3 linked regions of the Nothobranchius furzeri genome follow. The protein of the gene in region 3 interacts with the protein of the main gene of each other region in a pairwise test. Links are inferred from orthologs where the notes say so. Each region holds a gene or a part of one and is shown on either strand. Other genes may lie near its edges.

Region 1 (4,808 bases), on a different chromosome or scaffold from region 3:
CACACACACGCATTTACGGTTCTGAGATGATTTCATTCACTGTTCACACGACTAATCAATGACACCCCACCCCCACCCCCCTCTGAAACAGGCAAACAAACGGAGACGAGATGGAAAAAATATCAATTGTTAACATCGGCCCGGTTTTATTTATCGAACCGATACCGATATGTTAAAAAATGACTAACATCGGCCGATACCGATGGAATTGTCCATCCCAACTAAAAAATAGGGAAATATAAAATTCAATTTTACACATTTGAGACCTTAAACCAGCGGCACTCAATAGGGTCTTTCTTTGTGAGCCACGTACCGCCGGTCTACTCCGAGCCCCTCCCGGATGACCGAGCTTCTCACCCTATCTCTAAGGGAGAGCCCAGCCACCCTGCGGAGAAAACTCATTTCGGCCGCTTGTATCCGCGATCTCGTTCTTTCGGTCACGACCCAAAGCTCGTGACCATAGGTGAGGGTAGGAACGTAGATCCACCAGTAAATTGAGAGCCTGGCTTTCCAGCTCAACTCTCTCTTCACCACGACAGACCGGTACAACGCCCGCATCACTGCAGATGCAGCACCAACTCGCCTATCGATCTCACGCTCCAGTGTTCCCTCACTCGTGAACAAGACCCCGAGATGCTTAAACTCCTCCACTTGAGGCAGGACCTCATCCCTGACCCGGAGAAGGCATTCTACCCTTTTCTGACTCATTAAAGTTTAATGACCTGTCAAGTGAAGTTTATTGGTTTCTATTTTCAATGTTTTTGAGAAAATATGCGTGCAGAAATATTTTACAATTAAAGTGTTTAAGCTGTAATCATCAGAGCACTCATTAGTAACTAGATTACTACACTTATTTTGAAAAGATGCTCAGAGTGTTTGTTACTTTTAACGATAATCCAGATGAACAAAATTCAAATATTCCTCATCCAGAAAGTCCTGCCTGATGCCCAGACCACCTGACATCTTCTCTCAGCTGAAGATCATCGCTCTCTGGGATCAGACTGCTGATCACATGATCCCAGGACTCAGCGGTGATGTGGAAAATATTCCTACCACATACCGGCAGACATCGACTCAAGTCCCATCACTAGCTGTGTCCTTGTTTAATGCTTCCTGGTACTTTTAAGGGCCGCTTGAAGATGTCAGGTCAGGTTTGATTTAAAGTTTTATTTTCATAAGTGACAAATAGGGATGCAATGACACCGCTTTTTCCCAAACCGATACGATACCGATACTTGGATCTGAATGCTCGCCGATCCCGATTGCCGATACCGATACTTCTACCACACAAAAAAATGCAATGATTTGGATTACAGATTTTATTTTCTTCTCTGCTTTCAACAGGAAAAGACTGTGAGGTAGATAAAAAGTTAAATATATGAATAGAAATGATCACAAAACTAAAATATTTGGTGAACAGAAATGACGAGTTACAGTGAAGCCATTTTCAAGCAGCTGCACTGGTGTCGGTTAACTTTTACTGATATCGATACCAGCATCAGTGCATCCCTAGTGACAAACGAACCTGTGAATGGCTTTGATGTGCATCTGAAGACCGTTTCTACTCGATGCTCGATGGCCACACTCCTCACACACAAACGGCTTTTCCCCTCGATGCTTGGCTGCTTCGTGCACGCGTAGCTCTGTCCGCGTCAGGAAGGTTTTAGGACACTGAGGACACTATTTGACAGGACTGCGAATAAGACACCTTTCCAGCCTTTAAACGGGGAGCACACGTCTGGGTACTCACTACATGTGGTTTGGGATGGCCGTGGACCTTCATCATGTGCGTCGTCAGCTTCTTCTTGTACATAAACTGCTCGTTACACATTAAGCACTAAGAGAAGAAGACAAAACTGTATTTGCAAGAACCCATTTGATCAGTCGTGTGGACTGGGAGGGACGTTCACCTGGTGTGGCATTTGTCCCGTGTGGGTTACGACATGCACCCGCAGCTCCTCCTTTGTGTTAAAGCTGGAGGAGCAGGTTGAGCAGGCGTACGTCTGGAATCACAGCAGCACAAACACTAAGTTCTCCCTGGAAAACAAGGGCAGACCCCCTCACTGATCTGTCGCCACTCACCAGCCCTCTACTGCAGTCTCTGCTCTCGTGGACGAGCAGATTCTCCTTTCTGAAGTACCTCTTCCCACACTTGAGGCACCCAAAGGGTTTCTCTCCTGTGTGCCGCCTGCGGGACACAAAACGTCAGTGGCTGCTCTCTCTCTACGGAGACCTCCGGGACACGGACGGACAAACTCTGTACCTGTTGTGGACCTTCAGGTAGTATTTGCTCTTGAAGGACTTGTTGCAGATGGGACACGCGACTGGGTCTTTGTCCTCTGCAGCAGCAGCGTTCTTATCATTTGTTTTATTCGGAGTCTTGCATTTCTGTGTCGCCGGCGTGGACGCAGAGGTGGGACTGCTCTCAGCAATGAGGAAATACTCCTCATCCGTGTCATCAGCTGCACCCTCCAGGTCACCTGCACCTTCATCCTCCTGCTCCTCTGCTGCTGGCTCACCTGGTGCCTGACGGACATCGGCCATCACCTCGGTTTCCTGCAAACAGAACGAGGTTAGGGCTGGGGAATTGAAAAAGGCTCAGCTGTTTCACCCGAGAGACACAGAAAGACAGGCGTGTACCGGCACAGACCTGACGATACGATACGAATCACCGTGCTGGGGAGACGATACGATACGAATCACTGTGCTGGGGAGACGATACGATACGAATCACCGTGCTGGGGAGACGATACGATATGAATCACCGTGCTGGGGAGACGATACGATACGAATCACCGTGCTGGGGAGACGATACGATACGAATCACTGTGCTGGGGAGACGATACGGCACGAATCACCGTGCTGGGGAGACGATACGATATGAATCACCGTGCTGGGGAGACGATACGATACGAATCACCGTGCTGGGGAGACGATACGATACGAATCACCGTGCTGGGGAGACGATACGATACGAATCACCGTGCTGGGGAGACGATACGATACGAATCACCGTGCTGGGGAGACGATACGATACGAATCACCGTGCTGGTGCTGGGGAGACGATACGGCACGAATCACCGTGCTGGGGAGACGATACGATATGAATCACCGTGCTGGGGAGACGATACGATACGAATCACCGTGCTGGGGAGACGATACGATACGAATCACCGTGCTGGGGAGACGATACGATACGAATCACCGTGCTGGGGAGACGATACGATACGAATCACCGTGCTGGGGAGACGATACGATACGAATCACCGTGCTGGGGAGACGATACGATACGAATCACCGTGCTGGGGAGACGATACGATACGAATCACCGTGCTGGGGAGACGATACGATACGAATCACCGTGCTGGGGAGACGATACGATACGAATCACCGTGCTGGGGAGAGGATACGATACGAATCACCGTGCTGGGGAGAGGATACGATACGAATCACCGTGCTGGGGAGAGGATACGATACGAATCACCGTGCTGGGGAGAGGATACGATACGAATCACCGTGCTGGGGAGACGATACGATACGAATCACCGTGCTGGGGAGACGATACGATACGAATCACCGTGCTGGGGAGACGATACGATACGAATCACCGTGCTGGGGAGACGATACGATACGAATCACCGTGCTGGAGAGACGATACGATACGAATCACCGTGCTGGGGAGACGATACGATACGAATCACCGTGCTGGGGAGACGATACGATACGAATCACCGTGCTGGGGAGACGATACGATACGAATCACCGTGCTGGGGAGACGATACGATATGAATCACCGTGCTGGGGAGACGATACGATACGAATCACCGTGCTGGGGAGACGATACGATTTAACGTGATGCTAAAATCCTTTTTTATGACTGGATTTGATTAGAAAACCCCAAGCCAGACACTTCCAAGGCACATCCCGTGCTATCGCTAGATCTCATTGTTCCATCAGAAAGGAAGAGGGTAAAAACTGCTGCCACCTAGCTGTGGGAGTTTGAACTGCACCACATAAAAAAACACAGTAAACGTTAGTCTGTAAATTCTTCATTAAAAACCAATACGCTGCTTTTAAATCTCGATTCAGGGTCATTACAGGAATGTGGCGAGTATCCGCTTATCGATGTTTTCCTACATCCCTAAGGCTGACTGCACATAGAAAGTTAACCTTGAACAAACCACTGCCGAGCTAAACTTCTACGTTATCTCAGAGAGAGTCTTAAACCATCGGGGTTAGAGAGGTCTGGTTGTTTACGTTTAAATCTCTGTGGCCTGCAGTGGTCTCCCACCTATTTTTGTATTGTTTTTATGCAGGTGGTTGTGATCTGACTCAGATTTGGCATTCGGCAACACAACGAGGCGCTACCTCCACGGGAAGGAACCCGGCACTCTCAGGCGTGGGTCTCACACCAGCGGTCACCAGCCACTTGGGGCCCTTCACCACTCGGCCTGAGCGTGTTGTGGTGATGAGAGCTGAACTGCTGGCTGTAGAATCAAAGCTGGACTCGTCTCCTGCAGCGGTGCTGGAGTTCTCCACCTTGACAAGGTCTGGTGGACACTTTCTGGGTCTGCCTCTTTTCTGTTTCGAAGGAGCTCGGTCCACGGAGGATCCCTGGAACTGCTGGCAGAGGACGAGAGCTTCGGGCACGCACAGACTAACCGCTGCTTGCTGCACCTTGTGCAGGTTGCCCGGCTCCAGCTTCAGCTCCCCAGTGTAGATGAAGCCCAGGAGCAGCTCCAGGCCGTCACTGGGACAACCCTGAAGGCAGAACTCGGTGCATGGTGTGCCACTTGCACTGGACTGCT
Region 2 (5,294 bases), on a different chromosome or scaffold from region 3:
CGGCAGACAGCAGTGGACAGTCTGCCTGTGAAGAGGCAAAAGTACATCCTGGTTCCTCCGAGTACCAATCACAATACAAATAATTTCATTAATTACGAAAAACCTGAGACTAAATACTCCAGTTGTGAGCATAAAAAATGAACTTAAGAAAAAGTACAAAGTACTACAGGATACAAACAAATACACAAGGCAGAAAAGGAGAAGTTAAGGAACTGGCAGACTCCTAAAGGTATTTACAGGGATCGACTCCAGGCTGCATTTTAAACTACGATGCCAAAATGTGTAAGAGAGGCCACCAAAGGCTGCACTATTAAGATAAGATAAGAACAACTTTATTTATCCCGAGGGAAATTCTTGTGTCATGTACACGCTCAAAGCAGTCGGAGTGACAAAGGAACAGGTGAAATAGAAATATGATATACAATATACATTAAAAAATGATCTACAGTAGTACCATGCAGGATAGTGCAAAACAAACAATCGCATATCTCAATAATTAAATACATGACTGCATCCTTGTGAATAAGTAATTAAGCCGTTGGTGCAGGCGATTCACAAAAGTGATTAAAGTATTAAAGGTAACTATTCAGTTCATTAATATAGCGCTAATTCACAACAAGTCATCTCATTTTCTAATTAACAAGCCGAAGATGGAGATGTTTTATGAAGCTTTCACTGAGATTGCCTTGTACCCTGTTACCTCGTGTACCCTCCCACAGAGAGAGCTGAACTTGCTGAACCAGTTGTGGGCAGGTATGCTAATAGAAGCACAGCAGGAGGGGCTGGGATAACATCTCCAACGATTAATCACATCCGCTGTTCAACAAGTAGGGTAGGGCATCGAGCATTGATTGTAATCAGGACCAATTTTCAGTTTTTCCTGGAATTGTTCAAATTTTCTATTCTGATATGTAGTTTCGTTTTTCAGTCCGCCAACAGCAAGAAGTCACTGAATATACTGCTTATACGGCATCAGTAAAGCAGCTCTTTCTAGACTTCAGCTGGTCCAGAATTCAGCAGCTAGGTTGCTGACTGGAGCTGACAGAAGACAACACATTTCTCTAATTCTGAAATCTCTCCACTGGTTGCCCGTGCAGTTCAGGATAAACTTCAAAATTATGCTTCTGACTTACAAATCCTTGAACCATCAAGCTCCTCCATATCTGTGTGAACTTGTCCATTACTACAACCCGCCGCGTGCTCTCAGGTCTGAAGATAAGCTCCTCCTAGCTGTTCCGAAGGCACGTTTAAAAAGCCGTGGAGAGAGGGCTTTGTCTGTGCACCCAAGCTGTGGAACGCATTACCACTGCTAGTGAGGCAAGCACCAACAGCTAGCATTTTTAAATCATGCCTGAAAACTCACTACTTCAACCTAGCTTATACAACATAATTATGACCATCACTTACATCTGCACTGTTTAAAAATGGACTCCACAATTATCGACTTCCGTACTATTGAGGTTCTTTTTAAAATGTTTTTCTAATTTTTTTATTCACCCTGTGTCTTATTGATTTTTAGCTGTTATTTTTGGGAATTTTGTTGTATTTCCTTTTTATCTTTATCTGTGTTCGGCATGTTTGTATAACGCCGGTTTAATTAACTAACATTTTTAGTGTACAGCGCCTTGTTTGGTTGTAATGCCTTGTGAAATCGCTCTATAAATAAAATTGGATTGGATTGAATGCCAACAACGAGGACTCCACCAGGAGTGTTTGCGTTACCATGTTCTAAAGTGTGGCTTCACTTTCGAAAGTTAATAAAACTAAATGTAATGGAGATGTTCAGGGCCATTTCATCAAGTAAGACCTACAGTTAACTGGCTCATTTAAAACATGTAAAGTTATTAGCCGCTTGAAAGAATCGAGAATCACTAGGAACTAGAATTGAAACAAGGAATTGGAATCGAAATTGTTCAAGTTCAAACAACCCCATCAATGAGTTTTAGCACCTGCACTCAGACCATAGACACAAGGTAACACTCGGAAACACAGCAATGAGGTTTTTATAGGTGTTAGCCTTTGACCCTTGACCAAGGCACTGATGCTACGGCCTTCTTGCATTTCCAGCTATGAACTACTTAAAAGTAGTATACTCACCTGAAGGTCTGGTCTTGCTCTCTTGCTCTTTCTGCATATCGTTTGCACTTTTCATGTTGAGGTCTGAGGCAGCGGCCTTGTCCGTTTCTATACCGTCAACACAAAAGCTGTAGGTGGTTGAAGAAATGGCCTTACAGGGTTTTCCTCTGTTGCCAGACAGCTTTTTGTCCTCACTCACATCTGCTGCTGTTTGGATCCGACTGGCCAGACGTGAAATCTCTGATGTTTTTAGACGCCTGATTTTCTTCCTCATCGTTTATTGTGTGTCAGCAGCTGATCCTGTGAGGTGTGCTCTGCTGCCTGTGCCACTGTGGAAAAACATACGAAAACAAACTTCTATTTGTTCCACTGGCCTTCTGTGTGTATGTCAGCACAATCTGATCTCAAAGAAAGCAACAAACCAAAGAATGAATGAATGAATAAAATTCTGAGAAGTGTTTTGCAAAAAATCTCTTGACTGGAGGAAACTAATATTGACCAAAACTTTCATAAAATCAGTTAAATGTGATTGATTATTCTAAAATGGTGCATTATCTATATTTTTTAAAATCCTTAAAATGTGTATTATTTTTACACGTTTCTAATTTGCAGTGTAAGAACAGAGAGGAGAAACTACACATTTTTTCTACAGGCAGATAAATAGAAAGACAATTTAATATCGGTATTTTGTAAAGTTGATCATTTTTAAGTCGCATTCGCGTTAGTCTTGTTATGAAAAACGTTCTATAATAGAAATAATGAGCTTCATGGACATTTAAAAAACACACAAAGACGTTTGGTACATTTAACTTTACAACAAATTTTTCTAGCGTTGTATCACAAAACCTGACGTTAGCTGGTTAGCTTGAGTCAGTATGCGCAGTTTCAGTTAGTCACGAGCATTTATAATAAAGTTAATGTCGCCTTTAGGCAGAGCATACCGTGAGTGTGCACAGATCCTAACACTCGGAACACATTTTCTTTTGCGATAACAACAGAGTTCCTTTTTACAATAAAGAAAACTCCGTGGCTAACAAGCTGCGACCAGATGTAAACATTAGAACCCGGAAGTGCTACCGAAATAAAACAAAGGAAATATGACACTGCGCCCCCTACCGGACAAGGAGCGTCACAATCCTGTGACTCAAAATAGATGAGTCGCAAAAGAGTGATTTGTGGCTAATTGTATTCTATTAGATTATGGTGAACATATGACTCATGTGTTTTTTCTAACTCGTCTCGTGTGTTCACAAACAAAGCACTCTTCTCCAACACGTTTATTTACCATTTTTAAAAGTTATGTTAAAGGATGTAATCTCTATATTTTTGGGGGGGTTGTTTAGTCCTCTCATTATGAATAACAAGTCATGTGAATTTCAAATATTTGCTCTTGATTAGCCAAAGTTAGGGGAAGAGTGTCATGTGAAGACAATGAACAGCAGGGGGCGGTGTTTATTTGTTCTTGAGTGCAAACAACGAAGAAGACAATTTTTTGAAGAAGAAGAAGGCAAAAAAAAAGCATCCCAAACACCACCATGGCTACAACTGACAGCGGCGTGAAACCTCTTCAAAATGCCATGAAAATGGCAAAAACAGCCATTCAACTGGACGGAGACAACAAACATAAGGTAGATCAGCAGGAACGTGATGTTGAGCTTTTTGTTTCCACCGGACAGAAAAGAGTAGAAATGTAAACAGACCAAAGGGACGGAGGCTAAAATTGAGCTGAAATTTCCGTAAACCCAGTAAACCTGCTTGGAGCCTGCTGCTCATAATTATTCCATCTGCTTACGTTTTTTTTTTAAATTATTTTATATGTATTCTGAATCAACGAGACTGGTTTGGTTAATTAAGTTTTAATACTGGTATACATTTCTATAAACAACAAATACTGATTGGACTTCACTAGTTAGTGCAGTAAAACACTTTTATAACGATATTATTGTTAACACCAGTAGTATTGTCTATACCTGCGGGATATCTCAGCTCTATTTTATTTGAATTATTTATGTTTGAAAGAAAAATCGAACATCTGTTAGCACATAAGTGTTAATTAGCTTCAATTATTCATTTTAGACTTATTGGCTTTTTTAAAAATCTTACTAGCTATCTGTCGTGATCTATCACTGGTGAGCTTTTACTGAGATTTTCAGACAACATGAAACTTCTTCCAGTGTGGACAACAACAACAATAATTATAATAATGAGGCAGTTAAACTGCTGCAGGTCAGCTAATAGCGTCTGAAATCATCTAACTAGTTTGCACGGAGAACTAAAATGACTAAAAATGTAGAAAATAAGGTGGATTCACATATTTTTTGGCTCACATAGCTTCATAAATGTAAATATACCAGTGCTTTATTTTATTTTACAAGACAAGCCAGAAGAGTCAGCTGGATCAAATTGCAGACAATGATGTGAAAGCAATTTAAAATATGTAATAAATCTCAAAACACCATTTTAGACTGTATTCAGAGTGAGAAGAAGATGCATGTCTGTAATTCACGTCACCATAATCCAGCTTCAGTAATAATTAATATTGTTGACCCTAGTTATTTACCTGATGATGATCTCTCTGCAGGAAGCTTACTTTGAATACCTGCGGACCATCAACTACATTTCACAAGCACTTCTGGAGGAAGAAGCGCACCAAAGTAAGATGTGTGTTTTGTTGCATATTGAATGTAATGCATGAACATTAAGTTAGACATTGATTAAGAAAAAGCTCAAGCACGGGAGTATGGAGTACCAGGCCCTCTGATACGGGCTGTCAGGTTTCTGTGTGACCGGTGTCAGAGCTTGGCCCTCGTTGCCGGCAGTAAGTCGAGCTCATTTCTGGTCAGAGTTGGACAGGCCGCCCTTTATCACCAATTCTGTTCTTAACTTTTATGGACGGGATTTCCAGGCACAGCCAAAGTGTTGAGGGGATCAATCAATCAATTTATTAAATACACAAAATGGTCCATAGCAGATAATAAAACACATAACTAAGTATTCAAGGATTCATTTTCGTGGCCCGAGGATCAGGTCTCTGCTTTTTGCAGATGATGTGGTCCTGTTGGCTTCATCAGAACGGGATCTCTAGCTTTCGCTGGAGCGGTTCGCGGCCGAGTGTGAAGCAGCTGGGATGAGATCGATAGGCGGATTGGTGCTGCGTCTGCAGCGATGCAGGCGTTGTACCGGTCTGTCGTGGTGAAGAGAGAGCTGAGTCAGAAGGC
Region 3 (4,825 bases):
CTCTGACGTCACCTCGCCGCGAGCGAAATTAAGAGTTTTGTGTTGAAGTAGCGCATGCGCGCCATCTACTGGTCAAATAAACACACTGAATGAAATGCTCAGAGGATGAATAGAGCACAAATAAATGTTATGTTACTAAATATTATATATATATATATCTATATATATATATATATAGATATATATATATATATATAATCATAATGCCCTTACCAGGAATAAAACACACAAAGTGCTTAGTGAATACTATCAAATACACAAAAAATGATTTATTGAATATTTAATTATAATAATCACACACACACACACACACACACACATATATATATGTATATAAATATTTATATATAATGTGTGTGTGCGTAATAATATAATTGTATATTTATTTAATTTATTTTTGTTTTTTGTGTTTTTGATAGTATTCACTAAGCACTTTGTTTTTTTCCCTGGGAAAGGCATTATGAATAAACTTTACTAACCTAAATATAAGCCTGATCAAACCTCGTGTTGTTACATCCTATATGAAAATAAAGTATTAGGGCCCAGCTCTGCATTTTCCAGGTCATTTTTCTTCAATAAAACATTCTTCTTTATACTTAAGTGTAATAAACAACAGCTTTGGGGGTATTTAAATGCTCTTTGGCGTGTACTACCAAATAAGCACCACCTCATGATGGTGCAGGGATTTAAAAGTATATTTTTGGAAGGTTTTAAACATTTTTAGAAATTGTATCTACTTTAGATTACACACTGTTTAAAATAAATAATCAGGTATTGTAATCCAGAATGGAACATTTTTCTTTAGTTTGGACCCTCCAAGTTTTAAATCTCTAATACACACACACACACACACACACACACACACAAAACAACGGTATAAAAATATCTTTAATGAGTGAAAAATAAAATAAAACAAAGAAGTCAAATAAATAAATAGTTGTTCATAACATAGTGCATATCACAAGCACTGGTTAAACTGCAGACAAACACTGAAAAATAAACTTTCCCTTCTCTGGGACGACTGCCATCATTTCTGAGTGATTAATGTTGGCTTTAATGCCAAAAAATGGTCCAAAAAATCCACCAAAGTTGTGACGTTTGGTCGTGCATATAAAGATTCAAAAGAGTTCATAAGAGTTATCATATAACTACAACTGAAACAACTGAAACATTGATTATATGCATGCTTTGGATACCGTATATCTTCCAGAAGATCAACGAATAACTTTCCACCTGCACCACAATCTCAGCTAAATAAAATAATAGTTGAATTTAACTAGTTGATGTCTAACACATCACAGGTGTGTGTATATACAGGTGTGGGCTTCAGTTTGTCCATAAATTCTCTAGCATGGCTTTTTATCTGCACACATTTTGATCCAACTTCACTGCAGCTCCTCGTCGCTGTCGTCCACCTGCTGGATGATGAGATCTGCTCCCGAGTCTTCAGCCAGGTCATCGTCATCGTTTACCATCCAGGTTCTTTTAGCGTCCCCCTCCTCCTCGCCGTCCACGCCTAGCAGCAGGGCCGGCTCGTCATTGGACGTCTGCAGACCGTCCATGGGGACGTCGTCGCAGCCCACTTCCTGGATGCAGGCGGTGCACATGCGGTAACGGCGTGTTCCCTCACAAACCACATGTCCAGTCTCTTCTGTCACCTGACACTTGCACTTCCTGCACACCAGCTTCCTGGCCTGATGGATCTGTGGGAAAGCAAACTAGTTTAACAATGTTTATGAATAAATGAAGCTAGAAATCAACTCAGATGCTGGTTCTGGTCTTTGGACATGGCAACGTTTCAGAAACACGTTTAAACCACTGTTTTCCTTTTTCAGTAGCAGGTATGAATCATCCTGAGCGTTTGTGTCAACTGGAGGCTCCATAAACAAACTAAAATAGGTGCTGCCTCCCAGCTGTGACAAGACTCACCGTCTCAAAGTGGCTGCGGAGATGCTCCAGGCGAGTGAAGCGCTTGTTGCAGGCCTGACACGGATACGGCCTCTCCCCAGTGTGGCAGCGCAGGTGGCGCTTCAGGTCGGCCTTCCTCTTCACCGTGTGTGTGCAGAAGGGGCACTTGAAGCGCATGATTGGATTAGAATCTACAAAAGAAAGAGTTTGAGATATCTGTATATATTTTTTCTTCTGCCAAGCCTGTTTCATGAGAAAATGTTGCTTTATCACATTGCTAAAAGCTAAACGCGCTATTTGGGTCATACACAGCTAGACGCACCTTTATTAAAGTGACTAATAACACCGACGATGGGCGGTAGAGTGGCATAAAGCTCCTCTGCCTTTTCAGCCTTTCGAGTCCGCGCCTCCTGAATGTCCAGATCCTCGTGCTGGCTGGAGCGACTGCTGTTAGACACTTTCCGCTTGGCTCCTCCTCTTCCACGCCGGCGCTCTGATCCTGGTAATGTGTACAGTGGGTCCTGGGGGTCCTGCAGGTCGTCTACCTCTGCGCTAATTTCGTTAACAGGGCTGCTTGGATCCGTCTTCAAGGCTAAGGAGGAAGCGTCCTGCTCTGAGTCTTTTCCAAAAAAGCCAGACTGGGATCTGGAGCTGTCGCGGGTCCAGAGTGCAGGCGGTGGGCTGACGGAGCGGGGACCTTGCTGCTGGTGCTCCGTGGACTCTTCTCCTGCTCCACTCGTGAACGAACATGTCTCAGACAAGCTGAGGCACCGATCGCTGTCTTCTTCTTTCACACTGATGTCCAAAGAGGACTTGATGAAGTTCTTGCAGTAGCTGATGACGCTGTTCATCTGCAAGTAGCTGGCTGCAGACATCACCTCAATCACGTTGTGACTGGACAGGTCCAGCTGGCCCGTGTAGATGAAATCTAGGATGACGGTAAAAGTCTCTGGGCTGAAGACGTCGAAGGTGGCGCTGGCGGTGTCGGGCAGCCCGTCGGACCCCTGGGACAGCAGCATGCGGAAGTAGCCGCTGCTGGCGAACAAGACGTTACGGTGTGCCCTGAAGTGCTGGCCCTCCACGAGCACGCTGCAGTCACAGAAGAGCTCCTGGCGGCGCTGCTGGTTGAGCTGCTTAAGCAGGCTGCTTTGGTGAGACGCGGTGATGTCAGCCGTGTTGAACCACCTCTGAGGCTGCCTGCAGGAGACAGCATACAGCTCGTTACTGCATCAGACTACAGGGGTCCTGTGGATGCTCATTAATTAAACTGAGACCTTCAAGCTAAAGTTTAAATTTGCACTAAAAAGAATCGGAATGTTTACACGGGCACGGACTGGGACACCCTTCGCAGTTACAACAACTTCAATTATTCTGGGATGTCTCTTTTTTATTTTTCCTAAAGTGCATTTATGAGATTGGACACATTCCTCTACAGCAAACTCACTCATCTAGGTCCTTACTGGAACACGGGCACGCCTGCGTCCGTCTGGCGGGATGAAAATGTCTGCTGGAGTTCAGATGGAAAAAATTTAGGCTCAGTTTTGACTCACGAACATCACAAAGTCAGCAGAAGGGAAAGGAAATCACACATCTGTTGTCACGGTGACTCTTGCAGATGAAACTTGAAAAATGAGAATACCGCGCAAACGCTTATTATTTCAGTATTTCGACTAAAAAATGTTAAACTAATCCATGAGCCAGACTCAGTCTGTGCAAATCCAGATGTTTGAGCCTTTATTTGTTTTAACTGTGATGATTACGGCTTACAGCTGATGAAAACCCCACATTCTAAATCTCAGTCAGAATGTTGGGAAAAGATTCAATATTCCAGACTTAAAGTCAGCTGATGAATCCAGAGCTGCAAAGGGTTCCTGAGCCTTTTAAACAAAGATGAGGGTAAGATGTGGAGGGGGCATGCTCTGCATGCCCCCTCCACATCTTACCCTCATCTTTGTTTAAAAGTGCTTTTCAGTCCATCGGTCCCAGCGTGCTCTCTGTAATTAATGCTTCTCTGGTTTCCGGTCAGGTCCCTGCTTACTATAAGAACGCTGTAATCCACCCGCTTCTTAAAAAACCGAGTCTGGGCCCCTCTCTCCGTAGCAGCTTCAGACCCATCTCTAAACTTCCGTTCATCTCCAAGATCTTGGAAAAGGCTGTGGCTGTCATGTTGAGGGTGTGGATGACGGCAGACCACGTGTGGTGGAGCAGATCAGGAGGCAGGAATGCAGGCACGGATGAAATAAAAGTAGTTTTAATGGCAGAGCGGGAACGACAGAACAAAAACAACGCTGACAACAAACAATGATCTGACCAAGACTGATACAAGAAGGGAGGTATAAATACACAGGGGCAAATCAGGAACACCTGGGCAGGTGAAACCAGTAGGGACTAATAAACGGCAGGGGAGAGACACAGTCAGGGAGGCAGGAGCAGAATGTGACAGTGGCTAAACAACTCACAGCTGCTCTTGATGAACAGAACATCTATGATAGCTTCCAGTCAGGTTTCCGTAGAGCTCATTCTACTGAAACAGCTCTTCTTAGGGTCTCTAATGACCTTCTGACTCACAGTGATGCAGGGGACTGTTCTGTTCTGTTCTGGTCCTGTTGGACCTGACTGCAGCCTTTGACACTGTTGACCATCACCTGCTACTGGAGAGGCTGAGAGACTGGGTAGGCCAATCAGGAACTGTTCTGGAGTGGTTCTCCTCTTATCTTTCTGAGCGCTCCTTTTCTGTGGCCGTCTCCAAGTTTAGGTCCTCCACCACCTCTCTTACCCATGGTGTCCCACAAGGTTCTGTGCTGGGGCCTCTGCTCTTCCTCCTCTATCTGCTTCCTCTTCAGCACATCCTGAGCTCCTTCAAAGGAATCTCCTACCATCTTTATGCAGATGACATCCAACTGTACATCTCCTTTAA

What was found.
Region 1: the proteins of zbtb8a (region 3) and zbtb48 interact in binary tests that used the Homo sapiens proteins (3 or more experiments, as listed by UniProt). The two-hybrid records come from large-scale screens. The link is inferred for Nothobranchius furzeri from reciprocal best matches to the Homo sapiens genes ZBTB8A and ZBTB48.
Region 2: the proteins of zbtb8a (region 3) and znf276 interact in binary tests that used the Homo sapiens proteins (3 or more experiments, as listed by UniProt). The two-hybrid records come from large-scale screens. The link is inferred for Nothobranchius furzeri from reciprocal best matches to the Homo sapiens genes ZBTB8A and ZNF276.

Annotation. Positions count from the first base shown.
Region 1 is NC_091755.1:39,586,519-39,591,326, forward strand, and holds part of zbtb48 (telomere zinc finger-associated protein), read right to left. Parts: coding exon 4,369-4,808; intron 2,557-4,368; coding exon 2,264-2,556; intron 2,189-2,263; coding exon 2,083-2,188; intron 2,004-2,082; coding exon 1,911-2,003; intron 1,838-1,910; coding exon 1,751-1,837; intron 1,681-1,750; coding exon 1,526-1,680; intron 1-1,525. UniProt on the Homo sapiens protein: Plays a critical role in transcriptional regulation and chromatin remodeling. Acts as a regulator of telomere length. Directly binds the telomeric double-stranded 5'-TTAGGG-3' repeat.
Region 2 is NC_091744.1:86,422,646-86,427,939, forward strand, and holds the start of znf276 (zinc finger protein 276), read right to left. Parts: upstream 3,156-5,294; 5' UTR 3,018-3,155; intron 2,406-3,017; 5' UTR 2,351-2,405; coding exon 2,098-2,350; intron 26-2,097; coding exon 1-25. Other genes in the region: vps9d1 (VPS9 domain-containing protein 1), read left to right, coding at 3,612-3,704, 4,658-4,730. UniProt on the Homo sapiens protein: May be involved in transcriptional regulation.
Region 3 is NC_091758.1:35,822,823-35,827,647, forward strand, and holds the end of zbtb8a (zinc finger and BTB domain-containing protein 8A), read right to left. Parts: intron 3,416-4,825; coding exon 3,353-3,415; intron 3,106-3,352; coding exon 2,231-3,105; intron 2,100-2,230; coding exon 1,930-2,099; intron 1,704-1,929; coding exon 1,386-1,703; 3' UTR 871-1,385; downstream 1-870. UniProt on the Homo sapiens protein: May be involved in transcriptional regulation.